Linked DNA regions of Callithrix jacchus. The protein of the gene in region 1 binds, or shares a complex with, the protein of each later gene. Links are inferred from orthologs where the notes say so. Each region holds a gene or a part of one and is shown on either strand. Other genes may lie near its edges. The genes, in order: TGFB3, TGFBR1, LRRC32, ITGB8, ITGB6 and TGFBR2.

Region 1 (4,011 bases):
ACCCACTCTCCCATGACACGCAGACACAAAGGGCGCCAGCCTCCTCTACGCATCCAGAGCCACAACCCACTCTCCCCGTGCCCACTGGCCTGGAGGGCGCCCATTTTGAGCAGAGGAATCTGTCTACTGCATAAGACTACATGTTGCCCCAAAGTACCCGGCCCTGGGAACATTCGTGTGCACCCTCTCCCCTCCACACACACACACACACACACACACACACACACACACACAGCTCACGTGGGGCTCGTGGGTCACGTGGGTGGGGTAGACCAAAGGGCCCAGTTAGCAAGAAGCTGTCTCTTGCCTGGGCTTCAAAAAGCTTGACAGACATTAATTGAGGGCAGGTACTCTTCTTCCCAAGGACTGGAAAAATTGAACCGGAGACGTGTCACAGTGAGCTGTGAAAAGCAGGGAGAAGACTGAGGTCTCCACACTCAGAACTGTAAGGGCTCCTGACAGGGCCGGCCTTCCCCTTTATGGCACCCAGATGCTTACAGTTACTGATATGATCACATGTGCAAGAATACATATGTTTCCCTGGACAGCACAATGTAATTCCAAATTAAAATCAGTCAAGGATGTGATGTGAGTTCAGCAAGCTGTTCAGCTTCAGGGTTCCTGACCTCCCAGAAGCGTAGGCTCTTAGCAGAATGGCTCTATCTCCCTTCCCACCCACCTCCCCAGCCCCAAAAGAGGAGCATCGCACCTCCTGAGCCTCGGTGCTGGTCAATCCTGGGGCACCCTGCTGTGTGGCCAGCACTGGGCCCCCCTCTGCAGAGCTCCCTGCTCCAGTTCAGACCCTGCAGAGCAGACACCCCAGCGAGAATTTGGACTTACTGTGTTCCGTCATCCCCTGGATCATGTCGAATTTGTGGATTTCTTTGGCATAGTATTCCGACTCGGTATTTTCCTGGGTGCAGCCTTCCTCCTTCTCCCCGTGCATCTCCTCCAGCAGCTCCCGGGTGCTGTTGTAAAGGGCCAGGACCTGATAGGGGACGTGGGTCATCACCGATGGCTCAGGGGGGCTGGTGAGCCTGAGCTTGCTCAAGATCTGTCCCCTAATGGCTTCCACCCTCTTCTTCTTGATGTGGCCGAAGTCCAAGGTGGTGCAAGTGGACAGAGAGAGGCTGACCGTGGCAAAGTTCAGCAGGGCCAGGACCACCAGAGCCCTTTGCAAGTGCATCTTCATGCGTGAGCCGGGAAGAGAGGCCAGGGGGATGGTGAGGCCTGGAGAGGAGGAGACCCCAGCAGACGTGCAGAAGGAGGGAGGAAAACCAGGCGGCCTCCCCAGATCCCAAAGACTGAGGCTTGGCAAGAAGGTGCATGAACTCACTGCACTGCGAGAGCTTCAGGACTTCCAGGAAGCGCTGGCAACCCTGAGGAAGAAGAAGCGGACTGTGTGCCTTGTAGCTCTGGGATTCTTGTCCATGTGTCTAAACAGGTTTTGCTGGGCTCTGACTCCCAGCAGGCCAGGTGGAGGGCAAGCGGAGGGCTGGGAGGGGTGGCAAGGCAGCTGAGAGTGGGAAGGGAGCTGGAGTTTTTCCTTAGGTAAAAATAAATAGAGCGGATATCTGATATTGCCAAACACCGCTTGGCGATGGGGAGAAAGTGGGTATTTTAAAGAAGGAGCAGAAGGACCATGGCTGGATCCCAAAATCAAAATCCTTGCCTTGCCCTAAAGGAAAATAAGAAAAGAGAATGGAAAAGAAAAGGGGAAAAAGTTTAAAAAAAAAAAAAAGTCAGATCACCAGTGAGTAGGTGGGGAGAGGCCGGGCCGGGCAGTTGCTGGCCCAGTTAAAGGTGGGGGCAGTACAGGACACACTTGTCTCTCAGGCACTCCATTCATGCTTTCTCTTTTGTTTACACTTCCTCGGGGGCTTTCTAAATGACTTTGTTCACGCTGCCTCTCGTCTTCATTGGCTGGGGTGTGGGGTTATGTGCATTGGAAGGCAGGGGGAGGCCTCCGAGCGCAGCAGCCCCAATCATCCACTCGGACGCCCAGGGTCACCAGCACCTCGGCTTGTCTTCTGCCTCGGCCATTGCTTCTGTCCCCTGCTTCTCTTTAAAAAATGAAAAGGAGAAGAAAAATAAAATAGAAGCCAGTTCACGGCACGCCTGCTCCGGAAAGCTGTTATTCCTTCTTTCGCACGCTTCTTCCCCTGTCTCTGCCTCTCTCGCTCATTCCCTTGGACTTGACTCTCTGCTTCCCTCCCTTTCTCCCTCTCCCTCTCGCTCCTCTCCCTCTCTCTCTCACACACATGCACACACACTGCTTTCTCTATTTCTCTCTGCTGAAATTTTATACCTCCCTCCCATGACGTCTCTGGCCTGGGGTGGGGGAGGGAGGGACCAGCGCACGCAGCCTCTTTTGCTGCACGATGTTAATGTTTTAAACAGGCACAGGAAAAGCCGAGCCCATTTGAAAAATACTTTGCGAGTCCTACTCGTTCGACGTGGTAGCTGAACTTTTTTTCCCCTCTTGGAATCACTCCTGCTACACGCTGGCTGTTTTTCTGGAAAGTTACTCCGATGAGCCCCCTCCCTCCCTTTCCCCCAGCCCCTGCGCCCTCTCGCCGGCTGTCAGTCCGCGCCGTCCGCGGCCCGCGTCTCTCTCCCTCCCGGTCCACGGGTCCCAGGGCCGCCCCCGGGCCAGGCCCAACCCGGGACAGGGTCCGCGGAGGGCTCGGGGCCCGGCAAGGTCGGCCGTGCCAGCCTCGAGGAGGGGACTCCCGGCTGCGAGCCGGATTGGAGGGTCGGTGTCCGCTCCGCCGCGATCCTGGCCCGATTCTTCATTGACAAGCTCGGAGTCGAGAGGCGGGCAGAAGCCGGGAGACGCTTCGGGGGCAGTGAAAAATGGTGGCGTTTTCCGGAAGATCGAGGGTGCCCTCTGGCGAGGCGAGGCCGCTAGTGAAGGAGCTCAGCGGGTCGGGAGCCGGGGAGGCGCGGGCAAGGGGGGGCTGGGAGGTTGGAGGGCTGGGGGGGCTGGGGGCAGTAGAGGGGCGGGAGAAGAGGCTGCGGGAGAGAGCGAGAAAAACAAGACCCGGGCTCCGGGGAATCGCCTCCCTCCCGGCCCCACGTGCGCAAGAGCGCACCTCTCCCTCCCCAACCGCGGCTCCAGAGCCGCTCTCGCAGAAATGTCATCCAGATGTTCAGCCTCCCTCCTCGCCGAGGGCTCCGAGGGGAGCTGCGCCAGCGAGCGCGAAGTCAGCAGTTGGCCCGAGCCCATTTCCCAGATGGGTGAGGGGAAGTTGGCTCTCCGCTTTCGCTCATCTCGGGCCGAACCTCCAGGCCTTTTCCCACGAGCAGCACGGGGAGGGCAGGGCACGTGGCCCCCCCGCACCGGGCAACAAGGGGCTTGCATCTGAACTGAACTTTCCTGAAAGTGAGTGCCGCTCCCACCCCAACTCACTCCAGCCTCCCTGGACCCTTTCTGAGAGGTCTGGTTTCTAGGCCACTAATTGAAGGGCTGTTTACTGTATCCCAGCACAGCGGTGGCTCATATACGGATGAGGAAACTGAGGCATATATATATATATATATATATATATATATATATATATATATTAAAGACCACAGTGCTGTTTGTGAATGATGGAGGTGATATTTTACACAGGCTATCTAGTTTGGGTAGGCATTATTTTCATTTCCATAACTGATGAGGAAACCTAAGGGTAGAAACTTTAAAAATAACATGCCCAAGGTCACATAGCTATTAGGTGGTAGCTGTTGGGATTTGGACCCAGGACGTTGCCAGAGTCTGTGGACTTAATTACTATGCTATACTGCCTCTGGAATTTGAGAAAAAGGTTAATGTTTACTATGTGCCAGGCACCGTTCTACACTCTGTGAACAATATTGGTGAACAAAACAAACAAAACTCTTGCCCTCATGGAACTTATATTTTAGGGGCAGGGGTGGGGCAGTGGAGGAGGCAATAAACTAAATATGTAAATGATGCAGTAGGGTAAAAAGTGCTGGGCCAGGTGCAGTGATTCACATCTGTAATCC
Region 2 (3,500 bases), on another chromosome or scaffold:
AGGTGGAGGTTGCGGTGAGCCGAGATCGCGCCATTGTACTCCAGCCTGGGTAACAAGAGCAAAACTCCGTCACTAAAAAAAAAAAAAAAAAGTATGTGCCTTACGCTTGCCTGGCAGATCTAAACTATGTTCTGATATGTAAAGGCCACTGCAAATGTTCCATGGCCCTTTCAATGTGCTTACAATTGAATATGAAAACCAAATTATTCTGTTTTTACACATTGGTTTGACTGCTTTGAAAAAGAAAATTCTTGTCTGTTTTCCTTAAAGAAAAGTAGCAAATTTTCACTTACTCAGCAGAATCAATTTAGAAAATTGCCTAATATCAGAAAGAAATACTCACTTCACAGCTCTGCCATCTGTTTGGGATATTTGGCCTTAACTTCTGTTCACAAACGACTTTTCTCATTTCTTCAACTGATGGGTCAGAAGGTACAAGATCATAATAAGGCAGCTGGTAATCTTCATGAATACCTGTATTAGTTTAAAAGAAAATTAAATTTTGAAGAATTTATTCAGCTAATGCCAAACCATTAAAAAGATCACCTGAGAGCCCTTGTACTGTGTCATTACTAAAGTAGGTAGGTGGAACTGAGATGATAGCTTTCTCTATCTCATCCACATCTGTATCCATAGACCACTTTCCTGAGTTGATACTGAGCCCACACCTTGAAACTAAGTATTGCCATAAGATCAATAAAGTCTATTTGAAATGACAGTAAACTATGAGCTGTGATGAGCAGATTGACATTTTCCCCTAGAGCCCTACTGTGCAGCAACTGAGATTCTATTCTGTGAGTGAACAGGCTTTCACTTCAGTGAGACATGAATCCTATGAGGCAAGTTTAAGGTTTCTCTACTTGCTTTCTCTACTTGCTTCTGTCAATAATATATCCTATTTACTACAATACAGAGAAATACTCTGTCCCTCACTGCCTCAAAAACCTAAGGCCTAGGTCTCAGCCACGCCTAGGTCCCCAAGCCTAAGAGACTTTCCTGGGTAAACATTAAAAAGTGCTCCATCTAAAAAGCTAGAAGTTAAAACAAACTCTAGAAAACAACACAATGGTATTCTGTGTATGTAATCTATAACTATCAAGTTGGAGAAAATAGCCACAATCTCAAAGAAAAAAAATAAGTTTGTCACCCAGGTACATGCTAGAAACAGCTGCCTAGGTGAGCCTCTCAAGCAGCTATCCTTTCTAAAGAACTATATTCCAATATAACAAGGGGTTGGGTTCTGATGAGTCTCAAGATTCAAATGGAAACAGTAAGAGAATACACTAGGCTAGAGCTGTGCATGTGTACACCATGGCACTGTCCCCTCCCAAAGGTTTCATCGCCTTTGTTTTCTCTGGCATTTGGTGACCTCCTGTTTCAGATGATAAACTGTACATAATTTCATTCAACAAAAAAAGAAGACAATTCTTGAACAAATTCTGTTCATAACAAACTGTTGAGGGAAAGGGGAGCAATTTACCACCAATGGAACATCGTCGAGCAATTTCCCAGAATACTAAGCCCATTGCATAGATGTCGGCACGTTTGAAGGATTCAAAATGTTTCATATTTATGGAATCATCGAGAACTTCAGGGGCCATGTACCTAAAAGAAAATTTGCAAAAAGAACTTTGAAAGTCATGCCCTTATTGCCACATTGTGATGAATATCCACTCAGACATTTCTCTAAACATAGACATCTGCACACAATATTACACAGCAAATATTAGACTCGAGAAAAATATTAAATACACACACTGGTTTGCACATTAATGATGTCAACTAAATCACACAAAACGCTAAAACAGCAGTTTCACACTATCTGCGTCATGATCTTGGTTTCCAATGAAAGACACACATATAACCATTGTAACCATTTAAGATGTCCTAATGTACACCACCTATACATGTACTAGGCAGAAACCATGCATGTGAATCTAGAAGTCATCTCACTGAGGATGAAAGGAAGGGCAGGAATATACACCAGGGAAAAAGATAACAGATACAAAAGAATGCCAGTTCTCCTACTGATGCTACACTGGAGGGTTCTGAAGCGTTGAAAACCTACTAAAATTATGGGTCAGGACCCACAGAGACCTGCAGCAACCACTGCCAGGGACCCACTTAGCTGGCTGAGAGTTGAGAACCCCCAGTGAATCCAGAAATCTCAAAATCATACATGCAATTTGAATAGACTAATGCTGCCAGCTCTCCGGCTCTCTCCAAGGCCAAGGCAGTAGGTTTGAAGAAATGCTGTGACAACATGTGAAAAGGGCTTTGTGTCAGAAATGCCCAGGTTCAAATCTCAGCTCTCTGGCTTATCATCCACATGAAGCTGGCCAAATTATTTAACCTCCAAAAGGTGGTTTCCTCATCTGTGAATTAAGGGTAACAACACCTACCTAATTAAGTTCTTTTGAAGACTCACCGGCTCAACAAATATCTACTGAGGATCTACCATGTATTAGGCACTGTGAAGGATGCTGAGAATACAAGTCTGCTCTCAAGCAGCTTGCACCTAATAGAATATACAGGCAAATAAATAAACAGTTACAATGTAATGCATAAGTGCCTCAATGGTCCCAGTTCAGTGTGCTATGACAGCCCTTGGAGGGACTCCTAACAGTCTTGAGGACCAGAAAAAACTTCCTATGGGAAAGGTGGGTATGTGGCTGAGAAACAGTAGGGTAATGTATGCTCCAGGTGACAGCATGTGCAAAAGTTCTAAGAAAGCAAGAAAGACATATTTTCAGGGACTGAAATATTAAAAAAGCAGGGCTAGCTATAGTACAGTATTTGAGAGGGTTGTTAAATGAGATAATATATGTAAAAGACCTATTAGCTAGATGATTGGCACAAAATAGGTGCCCTATAAACGTGAGTTACTACTGTTACTATAATTAACATGACTAATAATATTTTCTGGAAGGGCAACCTTCCATCTGCAGGCAACTTTTTAAGTCAGGTAACTTTGGCTTCAGAGCAGGCAAGACCATGAGATCTTCTTGCCTGTTGGCAATCTAATAAAGTACAAGCTTAAGCTGAGTTCAGTGATAATATGTACATATAAAAGAAAAGGGAAAAAAGGTGATTTCAGAAGATATTAAATATATTTGTTTGAAAGTATACCTTTTTGTTCCCACTCTGTGGTTTGGAGCAATATCAATTGTATCTGTGGCTGAATCATGTCTTACTGCCAGTCCTAAGTCTGCAATACAGCAAGTTCCATTCTTCTTTACCAAGATATTCTTCGATTTCAAGTCCCTATGAGCAATGGCTGGCTTTCCTAAAGAATCAAAAATTAAACATGACTGCTTAAAAGGTAATACCAATCACAGCTCAAATACCTTTAAAGTCTCTTCTCCTAACCCAAATGTATGAAATCATTTCAGCCCACATGACCAACAATACCTGAGCCATTACTAAATAAACTCAAGTGAATCATTACACCAAAAGTTATTGAAATTACATTTCTTTAAAGAAAATGGGGACAATAACAA
Region 3 (3,500 bases), on another chromosome or scaffold:
GAGCCTTCCAGGCCCTGCCCCACCTGCAGCACCTCAGCCTGGCCCACAACCGGCTGGCAGTGGGCACTGTACTGAGTACTGGCGGCCTGGGCCCCCTGCCACACGTGACCTCCCTGGACCTGTCTGGGAACAGCCTGTACAGCGGCCTGCTGGAGCAGCTGCTGGAGGAGGCACCCCGCCTGCATACCCTCTCGCTGGCGGAGAACAGTCTGACTCGCCTCACCCACCACACCTTCCGGGGCATGCCTGCGCTAGAGCGGCTTGACCTACATAGCAACGTGCTGATGGACATCGAGGACGGCGCCTTCGAAGCCCTTCCCCGCTTGACCCATCTCAACCTCTCCAGGAATTCCCTCACCTGCATCTCTGACTTCAGCCTCCTGCAGCTGCAGGTGCTGGACCTGAGCTGCAATAGCATCGAGACCTTTCAGACGGCCCCCATGCCCCAAGCCGAGTTCCAGCTCACCTGGCTCGACCTGCGGGAGAACAAACTGCTCCATTTTCCTGACCTGGCCGCGTTCCCAAGACTCATCTACCTGAACATGTCCAATAACCTCATCCGGCTCCCCACAGGGCCACCCCAGCACAGCAAGGCCATCCACGCACCTTCTGAGGGCTGGTCAGCCCTGCCCCTCTCAAACCCCAGGGGAAATGCCAGTGCCCACCCCCTTTCCCAGCTCTTGAATCTGGATTTGAGCTACAATGAGATTGAGCTCATCCCTGACAGCTTTCTTGAGCACCTGACCTCCCTGTGCTTCCTGAACCTCAGCCGAAACTGTTTGCGGGCTTTTGAGGCCCGGCGCTCGGGCTCCCTGTCCTGCCTAATGCTCCTGGACTTAAGCCACAATGCCCTGGAGGCACTGGAACTGGGCACCAGAGCCCTGGGGTCCCTGCGGACGCTGCTCCTACAGGGCAATGCCCTGCGGGACCTGCCCCTATACACCTTTGCCAACCTGGCCAGCCTGCAGCATCTCAACCTGCAGGGGAACCGGGTCAGCCCCTGTGGGGGTCCAGATGAGCCTGGCCCCTCCAGCTGTGTGGCCTTCTCCGGCATCTCCTCGCTCCGCAGCCTGAGCCTGGTGGATAATGAGATAGAGATGCTCAGAGCAGGGGCCTTCCTCCACACCCCACTGACTGAGCTGGACCTCTCTTCCAACCCTGGGCTAGTGGTGGCCAGGGGGGCCTTGGCAGGTCTGGAGGCCTCCTTGGAGGTCCTGGCACTGCAGGGTAATGGGCTGGCGGTCCTGCAGGTGGACCTGCCCTACTTCAGCTGCCTCAAGCGGCTCAATCTTGCTGAGAACTGCCTGAGCCACCTTCCCGCCTGGACACAGGCCGTGTCACTGGAGGTGCTGGACCTGCGGAACAACAGCTTCAGCCTCCTGCCAGGCAGTGCCATGGGTGGCCTGGAGACCAGCCTCCGACGCCTCTACCTGCAGGGGAATCCACTCAGCTGCTGCGGCAATGGCTGGCTGGCAGCCCAGCTGCACCAGGGCCGAGTGGATGTGGACGCCACCCAGGACCTGATCTGCCGCTTCAGCTCTCAGGAGGAGGTGTCTCTGAGCCACGTGCGTCCCGAGGACTGTGAGAAGGGGGGGCTCAAGAACATCAACCTCATTATCATCCTCACCTTCATACTGGTCTCTGCCATCCTCCTCACCACGCTCGCCACCTGTTGCTGCCTCCGCCGGCAGAAGTTTAACCAACAATGTAAAGCCTAAAGAAGCCGGGAGATGCTCTAGGTCAGTGCAGGAGCCTGAGGTACAGAGAAGAGTGAGGCCTGACTCAAGGTCACACAGTGACCCAGGGTCCCAGAACACTGGTCCCCAAATCGCAGCCCAGTACTCCTTTCTCTGCCGCCTGCTGCATCAGCGGGTGACTCCCTTCCTGGGCTGCACTTTGGGTCCAGCTGTGGAAGCCAGAGGTTGGGCGGTTTCAGGGACAGCAGAGAATAATGTTGACCCATCAGATCAACAAATCTTCAATGAACATCTATTTTGTGCTACACCCTGCTCTGGGCACTGGGAACGCTGGGAAATGAGATACATTCCTGCCCTCGAGAATCTCCCAGTTTGGTAGGAGGGGTTGCTGCAGAGCCACACCGTGACCACACAGTGTGCTCAGGGCCTGAGGAGTGAAAGCCCAGGGGTCTGGAGCTCGGCAGGCCCTGCTGGTTCAGGGCGGAGAGTCCGGCCCCAGCAATGCCAGGGCCAGAAAGGGCCAAGCCCAGGAGGATTTGTCTTAGACATTTCCAAGCAGACTGTTTGTCACATTTAATAATGACTTTCAGCCTCTCTGAAAATGAAGCGCTTATGACAGAAAGAGAGAACTGGGAGCCGTCCGAGTGTGTCTTGGATGTGGTGCTGTTAGGTGGGCTGTGGCAGCTCCAGCAGGGTCTGGTTAAGGGGTCTAGCCCAGCACTGGGCCATTCCGTCTCCTGCTCTGGACAGGTCCTCTCTCTACCTGGCACTCTCATGTTGCACACCCTGACCCTAGTACTGCTCTAAGCCCCTCCCTGCCCAGCCTCCCTTCTCCGTCCCAGCCCCATCTTGGCTGCTGTGCCAGGAGCTAGAACCTTAGATGTCTGGTTCTGTTTTGCACCCAGCTTGACAGATGTGGATGTGAATCCGAGCCTTGCTCCTATATGACAGCCCTTAGAGGTTGATATTTTATCCCTATTTTATAAAAGAGGAAACTGAAGTTCTGCAAATCTTCCTCCATGGCCCCAGCTAACTAATGCCATAGGTGAGATTCAAACCCTCATCCTTCTGTCTCCAGGGCCTGGATCTTTACCACTGCAAGGGCTGCAGGCCATTAAGAGAACAGGAAGTGGTCCCACATAGCCCAAGCAGGGTCTGGAAGCATCCTGTGCCATGCACATCTGCTCTCTCCTCTCTCCTAGGCAGGCAGCCACGGGCCCTCTCCTCCTTCTTAGTTTCCCTCCTCCCCTCCTTTGCACCCTGGTATGGGGCCTGTTCTCTCCTTGCTCTTGCATTCTCTCACTCCCTTTTCCTCTATTGAGCAGAGCCTGGAGTTTGAGACTATTGAATCCAGCCCCCGCCCATTGCAAAGATGGGGAAACTGAGGTTCAGGAAGAGAATGAAACTTACAGAAAGCTGTACAAGTCAGTGTCAGAGCATGTGGGGGAAAAAAAAGAGTCAGACCTTATTTGGTGGGGTGAGATGGGGGTTGGACCAGAGTGGTGTCGTCTCTTGCCTGTCACATCACAAGATAATGCTGGCTCCAAACTTCCTTTCTGTACGTCATCATGCAAGGATTTTTTTCCCCCCTAAAAATTCAGGTAGAAAGGCTCACCCGGATAACCCCTGTCCCTCACACCATGGAGTCGTGAACTGTCTGGGAAGAATGGAAGCCCTGGGACCAACTCAAGACCCTGTGTTACTGTCTTCGTCAGCTTACCTGTGCTTGGCCCACAGTCTGGCTCATGATGTGGCCTCAGTAATGTGTGATAAAATGAAACCACCACGTCTCCATCCCATTTT
Region 4 (3,500 bases), on another chromosome or scaffold:
TATGGAAATACTCTCTTTCCTTTTCATTGGAATCTTCTCTACTGAGGCCCCAGCTGACCGCAGTATATGTGCTAAGGTCAGAATCTATAGAATCCAAAATCAAGCCACAGCAGCTCACACTCTCAAACCCTGACCATTTGGCAGTCCTCTCTCACAGGCTTCTTCTTTGCTGAGGCCAGTGAGACTGGAATTTGCTTGCTGGGCTATCAGCATCTGGTTTCAGCTGAGGGCCTTGTGTGTCTAGCATTTGGTTGGAGGGCCCTGAATAGCTTACCTCCAAGGACTGTGCCTTTGCTGATGCTATGCAGGCTCTGCTTGTTTGCTGAGGTGACCAACCCATACCTTTGCTGGGTCCCTGGCACAGTATGCTGACTATCTAGTACATCTAGCAATACCTCTGAAAACAGCCATTCATTTTTAGACAGAGCCACCATAAACTGCAATGATTCACCAACATAAAAATACTATGATACCGTGTGGCCAGTTTAGAAAAACAATTTTTTTTAATCTAAAAAGATGGCAGTACTTTCCACCAACAGCAGTTCTAGAGAGAGTTGACACTTTGGGTCTGAGTGAGAAACAAAAACAAAAAGTGCTGATCCGTACATGAAGGTTCAAGTCCCTGCATGAGAACCGCTCTCCCCAGTAGTGCTGAATTTCTGCTTCTCATGGATTTGGCCCAGTGTACTAGTGTCTAACATTCCCCTTAATTTAATTTCTCCACTCAAATTGCAGAACACTGCCACAGGGAATGGTTCTTTCTGTCAACAGAAGACCAGAAGCAGAGCCGAATGTAGGATATGGTCTCTGGAAGCAGTCTAGCTTCTGAAGGCAAGGGATGAGAGAATGGACTGGGCTGGACCATGCATGCCCAATTTCTCCTCTCAAATAGGGGCCAAAACCTAGGAGCATTACATTAAAAGGCCTGCCTGGACATAAAAGCAAATTCAGATTGAGTAGTTCCTTTCTCCCATAATTATTATTATATATCAGCAAAATCTTATTATTTGGAATACAGTAAGTAATTTGGCTGAAAAACATCTGATTTGTGAAATAATTGAAAAGAAAATATTGCTATTTTATACTAATACCAAACATATGATTTGATTAATTAGAAGATTCTTTAAATGAGTAACTTATGTATACAAATCAATGTTTATTTTAAAAATGTTTTTCATTCAGAATATTCTTAGGAAAAAATAATGACTTACAAAGCATTTGCTTATTTGTTTAAAAAAGTAAAATTCATAAATTGCAAATTGCCTATATTTAAGTAGTTGCCTTTTCACCGTGTACTTTAAATGAAAAGTAGAGATACCAACTCTATAGAGGGTTAGGGGGATAACCCAGGTCCTTTATCAAATAGTAATATAACGAAGAACTAAATAAAACTGTAGTTCCCGGCGGAGACTACTGACGTTTGTCCTTGTGGCAGCCCCTTCTTCTCATCCAGTTGTTTTGCCCAGGGTGGGTGCCTTGCCCATGGGACCCCTCTCCAGTGTGTGTTCATTGAACACCCACTGTGTGTTGGGCAAATGCTGACCCCTCCCTTCCCCAGGTCCTCCATATGGTACTGCAGGGTGTAGTTCTTTAGCCCACTGGCTCATTCCTTCTGTCAGCCAACTGATGAGAGGAATCCTATCAACTAACTAGTGATGAGATGGTAATTATTTTGAATAGCTTGTTGTACTCTGAAGTGCCAGAGTTTTCTCATCTCCTGTGTAAATACACTTTAACCCAAAAGAATGAATTTATGCCTTTATTCAATAAGAGATCTTTTTTTAAAAGATACATTCCCAGTTTTCCTCAACTCATTCTACAAGTACAGCCCCCTCACTGTTTTGGGATAGAATGCTGCTGGCTGGTTTGCACTATGTTTTTCTGACTACTAAGGCAAGGGAGGTTTATATAATGATACAATACCCTGTTACATTTATATGGAACTGGCCCATTTGTTATCATCCCTATTCAGCCTATAGAACTGTGGGGAATGTACTGTAGGATTTGGAGACTAATAAATTGGTATAGTTTTCAAATTGCCTTATAATTATACTAGAATAATAATTATGCTATACTTGTCACAATTATACTAGAATATTCTGAAATGTATGTACAAATTTGTGATGATTGTGTTAGGTGCTAGAATGTGACTAATTCATTGAGATCTTATCCTGAAATGTTTAAAATGAAGACTACATGATGCTTTTCTTCTGTTGAACTAGGAGCTGAAGCTAATTTTATGCTGAGAATTCATCCTCTGAAGAAATATCCTGTGGATCTTTATTATCTGGTTGATGTCTCGGCATCAATGCACAATAATATAGAAAAATTAAATTTTATTGGAAATGATTTATCTAGAAAAATGCAATTTTTCACCACTGACTTTCGTCTTGGATTTGGCTCGTACGTTGATAAAACAGTTTCACCATACATTAGCATCCATCCTGAAAGGATTCATAATCAATGCAGGTATCTAGGATTTGATGTGGATATACTCAATTAATTTTTTGCTCATAAAATTTCACTTTGTTTTTAATATAAAGAACATACCAAATTTTATAATTTTATATAAAATAATAATAAAAATATTTGGTGAGGTGGGGAGGTTTGTTCATATCTGGAAATATCTGAGATGACCTGTAGATTAGGCTTTTTGTTTTATATTTCTTCAAATATTTAGTCAGTTTTTATCATCAAAAAAAAATCCTACCTAATGTTAGTAACTTTGAATAAACCATCAATAATTAGTCTGCAATGTATATAAATACCTCTTTGGAAATTCTGTATTTTTATTTTTTGATTGCTCCAAAATTATTGAATTATGGTTTGATACACTTTAAAGAGTTTGTGCCCACGTTTCATCTGTCTCTCCGTCACTGTGTTGTGACTGTGGATAATGTCGCCTATAATGTGACTATAAAGCAAGCTCAGCTGTCACAAAGAAAGTGGGTCAAAAGATGAGAATTTGACTGCTTAGAAAGACCCTTTTTTTCTTACCATTTTAGAATTCTGATTCTAAATAACATACATCCCACTATGAAAGAAGAATTAACCTTAAAAATACAATCTCACACAATATTGCCATTAGCCTGTAGAATTTTCAGTAAAGGAAATCTGTATGGATCTTTTTTCATAAAAGACTTTATCTTTCTTGCTTCTACAAATTGCTTAGATTACCTTACAATATGTATTCCAATTTACCAAAACGACTCTGTCATCTCTTGTACCAGAACAAGATTGACACATCCACTAATGGAGTTTCATAAGCCTTCTTGAGGTGAATGTGCCAGAGGAATCATTCTTACTTTCTGGATATCATGGATTCTCAAAATAACTTTCATGAATTTTGATTGTTCATCAATAATTCTACCAAGTATCATTTTAAAAATTAGTACAGTATTAAAAACAAAACTGTAATATGATATTTCAACTAAATTTCCCAAAAACCTTTTCCAAAAGGGTTTCTCAGCTGTTCAATGATAAGAAATCACTGCACATTC
Region 5 (3,500 bases), on another chromosome or scaffold:
TGGAAATGCAAAATGTACATTCGCTTTGGAAAACAATTTGGTAGTTTCTTTAAAAATTATACAGTTCAGCAATTCCAGTTTAGGTGTCTATTGTGAAGAGAAGTAAAAGCATACATCCATTCAAAGACTTCAGTGCAAGTGCTCACAGCAGCCTTTTCATAATAGCCCCCTAAAATAGAAACAACTCAAATGTTCTCCAATGAAAGAATGAGTAAACAAAATATAGTAAATAAATACAATGGATTGTTAACTGAAACGAAAAGAAGCAAACTCCTGATACATACAAAGTCATAGGTAAATCTTGAAAACATTATGTTGAACCAAAGAAGCCAAACACAGAGGGCATATACTACATTACATATTTATATAAAATTCAGGAATAGGTAAAACCAATATAAATTATCGACTTCGGAAAGCGGTTGCCTTTGAAGTGGTAGAACTGACTGTAATGGGAAATTTCTGAGGTGATGAAAATATTCTGCATCATGTTTTGGATACTGATTGCAATGGTATATTTAACCATCAAAACACATCAAACTAAACATTTTCCATCTGTGCATTTTAGGCATGTCAACTATACGTCACAAGGAATTGTGAGGAGTAGGCAGACAGTGTACTTATTGCCCCTATTTTCCTCCTTTCCTCCTGACTGAAATGAAGAAGTGATGATTAGTACCCCAGCACCATTCTTGGACCATGAAGATAAAATCCAAGTGTCAATAATGGTGAAACAGAGAGCAGAAAAAGGCCTGGATTCCTCATGTTTTTGAATCTGCCATACATCCCTGAATGGCCTTCCTCTGGTCCTTATATAAAAAAACAGAAGAAAATATTGGCTGGGCATAGTGGCTCATGCCTGTAATCCCAGCACTTTGGGAAGCTGAGGCAGGTGGATCACTTGAGGTCAGGAGTTTGAGAACAGCCTGGCCAACATAGTGAAACCCAGTCACTACTAAGACTACAAAAAATTAGCCGGGTGTGGTGGCAGGCGCCTGTAATCTCAGTTACTCAGGAGGCTGATGCAGAAAAATTGCTTGAACCCAGGAGGCAGAAATTGCAGTGAGCTGAGATCATGCCACTGCACTCCAGCCTGGGTGACAGAGTAAAACTCCATCTCAAAAACAAACAAACAAACAAACAAACAAACAAACAAACAAAAAACCTCCCTTTTTAAGCCACCATCACAGATATTTAAAACCAAACACAATTTTTAAGTGTTACAATCATTGAAAAGTTCCTTTTATGGTTAAATTATTTTTGATTATGTTAGATTGTAGTTGGGGGCTACATTGAGATTTTTTTAAATGGTATAATAAAAGCTATTTATCTTTTATAGAGATTGATGCTTTTGGTGTATAAAAGTATTATGTCAATAAACATTTGGAAAATTATTTCATATATATTAGATGTATAGTAGTAATGGGCTTGCTTTTGGGACAAATCGAATATGGGTACAGATCATGGGTTTGTCATGTGGCCTTGGGCAAATAGCTAACCTCTCAGAGCCTCTTATTTCTTCTGAGTATAGAGCTGGTGTTATTAAGCTTTAACCTGCTGTTATGAAGACTGAATGAGGTCATGTGTGTAAAACCTTCAGCACAAGGTCTGGCACAGAGCATATAGTAGCTCTTTTTCAATAGGAGAATATTAAATAGTTTGTTTCTGAACATGTCATTCACTTAACAGGTAAGCCATCACAAAGCAATTTGTCCTCCACCATCACCTGAATAATATGTGGTTTTAATAGCTTATTATAACATATTAGAATGGAGTCATTGCCTATGAAATCATTTACTACTGAATTTAATAGCTATGAAGGCTGCCCAGGCCTTCTCCAAGCAATAGGAGAAACAAATATTTCCCAAAGTACATCAGAGAAAGTTGCAAAAATTATTATTTTGCCAGAAGTCATTGTTGTGGAGAAACATTCTGGGAAAGTGAAGTTATTCTCCAATAACCTCAGAAAGTGGTGGCCACTGAGACTAGAAAGTGTGTGAAAGACTGGGCGAGGTGCCATCCAGCGGAGCCTATGGTGAAAGCCTTGGTCCCCTTGTCTGCATAACACACATTCTGGTTTGCTACAACCTGCCCTACACTGGAAGGCAGATGCAGAGGCTGCAAGAAGCCATGGCTAGAACCATGTAGTTCAGATGACCTCACCTCCACTCCAAGCAACCTAGGCACTGGAGAGAACTGCTGAGATCCAACCAGATGAAGCAGAAATGCCAGGGAGTTAGCAAGCTCCTGGCAAGTGCAGCTCAGAGCCGGGGTATCTCCACAAAAAATCAGTGCACGAAGATGCCAAGGGAATCATTTGCTTACCTGCAAGGGTTGGCAATTTCTTCTGGTGTTGTTTTCACAAAAGGGGATACAGGTTTTTCAACAAATGATCCGAAGCCCAGTCTAAAGTTGCTGGTTAATTTAGACATCTCCTTGGAAAGCCGGGATCCCAGCTCCTTGATTGTGTGGAGGTCATCATCCATGGAGGCGGAGAGGTCCATGAGGTAATACAAATCCACCGGATAGTCCTCGGTCTGGCGGACATGCACTTGCAGAGTCTGTGCACCACCTGCAAAGACCAATGGGAAAAGCAAACCCAGAAAAACACACTGAGATTCATTTGCAACTGGCCAGTTGCTGGGTCAGCTGGCTATTACACCTCAGTAAGAACTTACTGAAAGTCAAGGTCCTAAATGAACCAACCCATAAAAATTTTTCAGCAGGGAGTTTAGAACTACTGGAGGATAAGTTAGGATATTTTATATCTCCTTGGGAGAACTAGCATCCATTTAGATAGAAGATAAGCTGAATTTTTTGTGCTTCGTTTTAGAAAAGAGGCATCTAATAAAAGAGAGTTTAAATCTACATTACAACCCTTGAAGAGATGTGAGGTAAGCCTTAACAACATTTGAGTAATTTAAATGGTTACTATTAGAGAAGGCTTCTTTAGTAACACATTTGGAGTGCCAGGGACCAATGTGAATAAAGAAAAGTGTGAGCCTAGCAATTTTCTATTTCCTTAAGAATGGGAAATTCGAGGCATAATAATCAATGTAATACAATACAAGACACATTAGTGGAGTAGAAGAATTGCCATATATGACATCAGATCTATTTACATGAGCCAAATCCTAACATACCTGGTCTCAACTTCAGGATCAAGCTTTGAGGTGCAATCTGAACAATGTCAGAACTATTTTTCTGTGTGCCTACACTGAGAGGCTTATTTTTAAGTATTTCTACTTGTGAGACAGGGTTTTCGATGAAGTTTAATTGACATCCTTTAGCTAATAGGTTTGCTGGGGTATCACACCTTTCGCCAACTCCAGATGAGTGGGTAAAATTCTAAAAAAGAAAAAAGAAAATCAATAACTAGAAAAAGAAAACAAATCTGAATTTCTTATAAGATACCAGCAATTGAAAGTTTTTTATTATACATAGAAAGGAACAACCAGTATTAACCTTTCTAAAAATATACCAAAAAGTAAACAGCATCAACA
Region 6 (4,247 bases), on another chromosome or scaffold:
AAGAGGCAATAGGGAGAAGATCTGGAACTCAATCTTCCTCCATTGCCAAAGTCACACCAGCCTTGGTAAGGCAACTAATTGGTGGGAAAGAAGATGCCTAGCCCTCCTGATTTCACTGCGCTTTCTGCATCTTCAGCATGAGAGCTGGGAAGTGTCAAAACAAGCAGAGGCAGCTTGGCTGTTAGGTGGAGCAAGAGTTAAAATTCCAGGGTGAAGCAAATGAACTCTTAGAATCACAGGGAAGATTTGGGAGTTGGCTTTGGGGGAGGGCTATTTACCTTTATTCCCTGGAGACGGCGGCACAAACCCTGGCCTCTGCCATCTTCCTCGTAGGTAAAGGAATTCATTGAGTCGCTGGAATATCTGACCAGAGGGCTGTACAGAATCATATCTTTGAGAGCTGGAAGTATGTTCATCACATAGTTTATTATCCAGTCAGGACATATCAGAAAGAGAAAGGGGGTTCTATTAATATTTAAGCTATAAAACAAGTACACCAGGAACATCTTGGGCAAATCTGGTTGCCCTAGCAAGAAAGGAAATTGGAAAGTTACTCCTTTTGCACATGAGAGGCTAAGTATTCTCTTTCTTGACCTGTATTAAGGGAATAAAAGCACAAGCATTCAGCTGACTCCCAAGCCACTTTTAATTTTACAGTTTCTGCTATACTCTATACATTCTGAAAATTACATTTCCAACCATTATCGCTTCGTGATAGGTGATCATTCAGTTACTCACTCAGCCTCAGGAAGAGGCGGTGCAAAGTGGGAGGCTCTATCAAGGTGCTCACTAGAAAAGCAGAATCTCAGCCTGCCTCCTAGACCTACTGAATTAGAATCTGCATTTTCTTTTAACGATATTCCCGGTGATCAAGATAGACATTAAAATTTGAGAAAAACCTCTAGACTTTGACCTACAGTAAGAAAAAATTTTACAACTTGACAGTGTATGCACATACATACATGGCTAGAGACACAACTGAAGCAAAAGTTTAGTGAAGTCATACTTACCGTTACTATTTTATTCGGGAAAGAAATGTGCTCCCGACTCACTAGATTTGAGTATTGACTGCTGAATCTCAACGTGTCATTTGAAAGCGCATCTCTCAAGCACCTAGGGGCAGGGCAGGCTGCAGACAGCTGAGGGGAGGCGACCGATGTTCTGATGGACCAGGGGAAACGTGGACGTTTTCTGATGTTACTTTGTGAACTACGTGCACTTAGTCACTCCTGAGTAAATCCCTGGAGCAAGGAACTCCTGAGTGGGGCGGGAGGGCGGTGAGGGGCAGCGGAAAGTCGGCCAAAGCGCTCGCAGGGGCTGGGCTAGGAAGCATGATTGGCAGCTACGAGAGCGCGGGGGCCGGGCGCGGAGGAGCGCAGAAGGCTGTCGGCGGAGCGAGGTCCTGCCCAGCTGTTGGCGAGGAGTTTCCTGTTTCCCCCGCAGCGCCGAGTTGAAGTTGAGTGAGTCACTCGCGCGCACGGAGCGACGACACCCCCGCGCGTGCACCCGCTCGGGACGGGAGCCGGCCTCCTGCGCTGCTTTCCTCGGCCGCCGGGGGCCTCCCCGCGCCTCACCGGCCTCCAGCCCCTCCTGGCTGGCGAGCGGCCGCCACATCTGGCCCGCACCTCTGCGCGGCCGGCCCGGCGCGGGGTCCAGGGAGGGCGCGGCGTCCACGGAGGGCGCGGTGCGGAGGCGCTGCCAGGGGTCCGGGAAGGCGCCGTCCGCTGCGCTTGGGGCTCGGTCTATGACGAGCGGCGGGGTCTGCCATGGGTCGGGGGCTGCTCAGGGGCCTGTGGCCGCTGCACATCGTCCTGTGGACGCGCATCGCCAGCACGATCCCACCGCAAGTTCCGAAGTCGGGTGAGTGGCCCCCAGCCCGGGCTCGGCGGGGCGCCGGGGGTCTTCCTGGGCTCCCCGCCCCTCCGCTGCGCTTGACAGTCGGGCCCGGCCACCCGGCGCCCGGGCGGAAACCAGGAAAGTTTCCCCCGCGGCACCCGCGCAGCCCGACTCCCGTAGCCGCGGGGATGTATGAGTTTTTCTCGAAAAAGAGAAGGAAAGTTCAGCTGCCAGGGGCTCGGGGCACGTTCGGTTCCCTTTGTGCGAGCAGGAAAGGCGTTGTGCGGGCCGCGTTCGAGGCGAGCCCCCACCCCCGGAAAGGGAAGTTTGAGAAGTTGGTTATCTGAAGGCGGCCGGGAGCCGCGGCGCGGGGCGGCAGCCTGAGCTGCCAAAGCAGCCAGCACACCTGGGCCCCTCCGCCCGCGGCGATGCGGCGCGCCCACCCAGCTCTTTCCCAGCCACCCCTTCCAAAGGCCAGCTCCTCAGTCCTGAGCGCCAGGACACGGCCACGCATGCCCTCAGGGCCGCTTCTTGGCCCGGAGTTATTGGATACAAGTTTCAAGAAAATAAGCGATTTCCAAAGGAAAGTTAGCTGGCTCCACTGACGCCTTGGCATCACGGATGGGTAGGGAGTGGAGACGCTCAGGGAAAACCGGGAATCCTTCAGTAAATGCCTACTAGGTGCTAGGGGCTGGAGATTTTGCCTGGAACAAGACAGTCCTGTCTTCAGGGAGTTGGTGTTTCTCTGCAATGATCGTTGGTTGGAAACCGAAGGGTTAAAAATCCCAACTAGGCTACCCACCTGACCGCTGTCTCTGAAGGTTTTGAAGAAAACACACACACACACACACACACACACACACACACACTATATATATATCTATATATCTATATATATGCATATGCATGCAGGAAAGGGGGTTCTTAACTATTTGTTATGGAAAGTGTAAAACTCCTGAGACTTCAAAAGTTAGACGTTTTTTTTTTTTTTTTGTTTTTGTTTTTTTAAGACTAAGTCGCCAGGCTGGAGGGCAGTGGCACGATCTCGGTTCACTGCAACTTCTGCATCACAGGTTCAACCGATTCTCCTCCCTCAGCCTCCTGAGTAGCTGGGATTACAGGCGCCCACCACCATGCCCAGCTAATGTGTGTATTTTTAGTAGAGACGGGGTTTCACCATGTTGGCCAGGATGGTCTCGATCTCTTGACCCCGTGATCCAACCGCCTCAGCGTCCCAAGGTGCTGGGATTGCAGGCGTGAGCCACCGCGCCCGGCCAAAAGTTAGACTTTTTGCAGCTATGAGCCAAATAACAGTATCTGCAGCTTGTCTGCCAGATATTTATCTGCGTATTTAGGCAAGTCATAGAACTTTTTCTAGGCGGTAGTTTCCTCATCTGGAAAATGGCAATGTTGAATCTGAGTAATTTTACATCATCTTCATGTTTAACATATTATGTGTCGTGCCCCTCCCCTCCTTTTCCCCCTGGCACTTCTGGTGACTTGGAGATGAGCCATGTAGACTTTGGGTGAAAGGAAGAGGAGCTGACAGTCCACATCACCCCGAGGTGTTCATTTTATGTACCCAGGGGCAGATTCACCTTTAGGTTTGTCTAGGGAAAAATGCACATCACAGTCTGCTGTAAATTTCAGAGTACATGAAATAGATGGAGAAGTTTTAAAAAATTATTGCTTACATTAAAGGTGACATGGAGATGGAAGTTTTTAATCAAATTATGAAGAAGCACTATTGCAAGTAAAAAGTCTTAACGCAAATTTGAGTCGTATGGTTTTAATAAAATCTGAGTGTTTTGTTCTTGGCATTTTTCCTACATTGCAGTACCAGAATGTTCAACTGTCTTTCATTTTCCTCTAGACTCTTAAAACCTGAATTATATTTTGCTAATAAATATTTAAAATGGCACCCTTAATTTTCTGTGAATGTTAAAAATCATTAAAACGTTTGTTCCAGTGTATAAAAGAAGGAAATTAGTAGGCCCTGATGTTGTTAGTTAGATTCTGTTTACAAGGATAAGATTTATGATTTGCAAATTCCAGACCCAATAGTCATGAGTCAGTTTCATTTCATCTATATACACACTTTTAAACAATTAGCTTAAAAGTGTGGTGGCTTTTTATTTGGGTTTTTACACAGTTTTGCAAGGCCAACAGATTTCATACTTTTATAGAATTGAAGTTGCAAAATGGTTGAATTAATGAATCATTTTTAATTTGTATTAATTTGATTCGAAGTAAACTTTCAAAGTTGGCTGAAGGTTGAAGACAGATCTATTGAAGACAGGAAACCTAATTCTACTTACATTTTAATTTTTCATGTAAGGAAATAGTTTCAGATTTTTTCTAACAATTGGTAAACTGAAAACGTTTTTCAAAATATCTTAATGCAAGATAAG

The links.
Region 2: the proteins of TGFB3 (region 1) and TGFBR1 are in contact, whole or in part, in a crystal structure (PDB 9B9F), measured with the Homo sapiens proteins. The link is inferred for Callithrix jacchus from reciprocal best matches to the Homo sapiens genes TGFB3 and TGFBR1. Residues at the interface, in NP_001316868.1 of Homo sapiens: Ala301, Leu302, Asp303, Asn305, Tyr306, Tyr350, Leu351, Ser353, Thr357, Thr360, Leu364, Leu368; in NP_004603.1 of Homo sapiens: His39, Leu40, Thr42, Lys43, Phe55, Met70, Ile78, Phe84, Val85, Lys91.
Region 3: the proteins of TGFB3 (region 1) and LRRC32 are in contact, whole or in part, in a cryo-EM structure (PDB 8VSB), measured with the Homo sapiens proteins. The link is inferred for Callithrix jacchus from reciprocal best matches to the Homo sapiens genes TGFB3 and LRRC32. Residues at the interface, in NP_001316868.1 of Homo sapiens: Leu24, Ser25, Thr26, Cys27, Thr28, Leu30, Pro347, Pro349, Tyr350, Leu351, Arg352, Thr357, His358, Val361, Leu364, Leu368, Ser375; in NP_001122394.1 of Homo sapiens: Ala110, Ser135, Tyr137, Ser160, Val184, Met186, Asp187, Ile188, Asp190, Phe193, Leu202, Leu204, Arg206, Asn207, Ser208, Thr210, Cys211, Ile212, Ser213, Asp214, Phe215, Ser216, Leu217, Cys227, Asn228, Ser229, Lys254.
Region 4: the proteins of TGFB3 (region 1) and ITGB8 are in contact, whole or in part, in a cryo-EM structure (PDB 8VS6), measured with the Homo sapiens proteins. The link is inferred for Callithrix jacchus from reciprocal best matches to the Homo sapiens genes TGFB3 and ITGB8. Residues at the interface, in NP_001316868.1 of Homo sapiens: Gly262, Asp263, Leu264, Arg266, Leu267, Lys268; in NP_002205.1 of Homo sapiens: Ser156, Ala157, Ser158, Asn161, Arg206, Gln210, Cys211, Tyr214, Leu216, Ser247, Gly248, Asn249, Ile250, Asp251, Thr252, Glu254.
Region 5: the proteins of TGFB3 (region 1) and ITGB6 are in contact, whole or in part, in a crystal structure (PDB 4UM9), measured with the Homo sapiens proteins. The link is inferred for Callithrix jacchus from reciprocal best matches to the Homo sapiens genes TGFB3 and ITGB6. Residues at the interface, in NP_001316868.1 of Homo sapiens: His259, Gly262, Asp263, Leu264, Arg266, Leu267, Lys268; in NP_000879.2 of Homo sapiens: Ser142, Ala143, Ser144, Asp147, Pro196, Cys197, Ser199, Ile200, Tyr202, Cys204, Ala234, Asn235, Ile236, Asp237, Thr238, Glu240, Asp271, Lys355.
Region 6: the proteins of TGFB3 (region 1) and TGFBR2 are in contact, whole or in part, in a crystal structure (PDB 9B9F), measured with the Homo sapiens proteins. The link is inferred for Callithrix jacchus from reciprocal best matches to the Homo sapiens genes TGFB3 and TGFBR2. Residues at the interface, in NP_001316868.1 of Homo sapiens: Arg325, Lys331, Trp332, His334, Tyr390, Tyr391, Val392, Gly393, Arg394; in NP_003233.4 of Homo sapiens: Leu50, Phe53, Asp55, Ser72, Ile73, Thr74, Ser75, Ile76, Glu78, Val100, Asp141, Glu142.

Annotation. Positions count from the first base shown.
Region 1 is NC_133509.1:110,899,406-110,903,416, forward strand, and holds the start of TGFB3 (transforming growth factor beta-3 proprotein), read right to left. Parts: upstream 2,801-4,011; 5' UTR 2,448-2,800; exon of another isoform or gene 2,309-2,447; intron 2,278-2,308; exon of another isoform or gene 2,064-2,277; 5' UTR 1,826-2,063; exon of another isoform or gene 1,380-1,825; 5' UTR 1,193-1,379; coding exon 841-1,192; intron 402-840; exon of another isoform or gene 335-401; coding exon of another isoform or gene 241-334; intron 1-240. UniProt on the Homo sapiens protein: Transforming growth factor beta-3 proprotein: Precursor of the Latency-associated peptide (LAP) and Transforming growth factor beta-3 (TGF-beta-3) chains, which constitute the regulatory and active subunit of TGF-beta-3, respectively.
Region 2 is NC_133502.1:147,265,348-147,268,847, reverse strand, and holds part of TGFBR1 (TGF-beta receptor type-1), read right to left. Parts: intron 3,287-3,500; coding exon 3,130-3,286; intron 1,606-3,129; coding exon 1,481-1,605; intron 475-1,480; coding exon 344-474; intron 1-343. UniProt on the Homo sapiens protein: Transmembrane serine/threonine kinase forming with the TGF-beta type II serine/threonine kinase receptor, TGFBR2, the non-promiscuous receptor for the TGF-beta cytokines TGFB1, TGFB2 and TGFB3.
Region 3 is NC_133511.1:64,331,535-64,335,034, forward strand, and holds part of LRRC32 (transforming growth factor beta activator LRRC32), read left to right. Parts: coding exon 1-1,718; 3' UTR 1,719-1,739; exon of another isoform or gene 1,740-3,298; coding exon of another isoform or gene 3,299-3,349; 3' UTR 3,350-3,500.
Region 4 is NC_133512.1:37,881,921-37,885,420, reverse strand, and holds part of ITGB8 (integrin beta-8), read left to right. Parts: intron 1-508; exon of another isoform or gene 509-576; intron 577-2,222; coding exon 2,223-2,469; intron 2,470-3,500. UniProt on the Homo sapiens protein: Integrin alpha-V:beta-8 (ITGAV:ITGB8) is a receptor for fibronectin. It recognizes the sequence R-G-D in its ligands.
Region 5 is NC_133507.1:69,659,830-69,663,329, reverse strand, and holds part of ITGB6 (integrin beta-6), read right to left. Parts: intron 3,346-3,500; coding exon 3,141-3,345; intron 2,570-3,140; coding exon 2,323-2,569; intron 1-2,322. UniProt on the Homo sapiens protein: Integrin alpha-V:beta-6 (ITGAV:ITGB6) is a receptor for fibronectin and cytotactin. It recognizes the sequence R-G-D in its ligands. Internalization of integrin alpha-V/beta-6 via clathrin-mediated endocytosis promotes carcinoma cell invasion.
Region 6 is NC_133518.1:68,835,799-68,840,045, forward strand, and holds the start of TGFBR2 (TGF-beta receptor type-2), read left to right. Parts: upstream 1-1,447; 5' UTR 1,448-1,766; coding exon 1,767-1,860; intron 1,861-4,247. UniProt on the Homo sapiens protein: Transmembrane serine/threonine kinase forming with the TGF-beta type I serine/threonine kinase receptor, TGFBR1, the non-promiscuous receptor for the TGF-beta cytokines TGFB1, TGFB2 and TGFB3.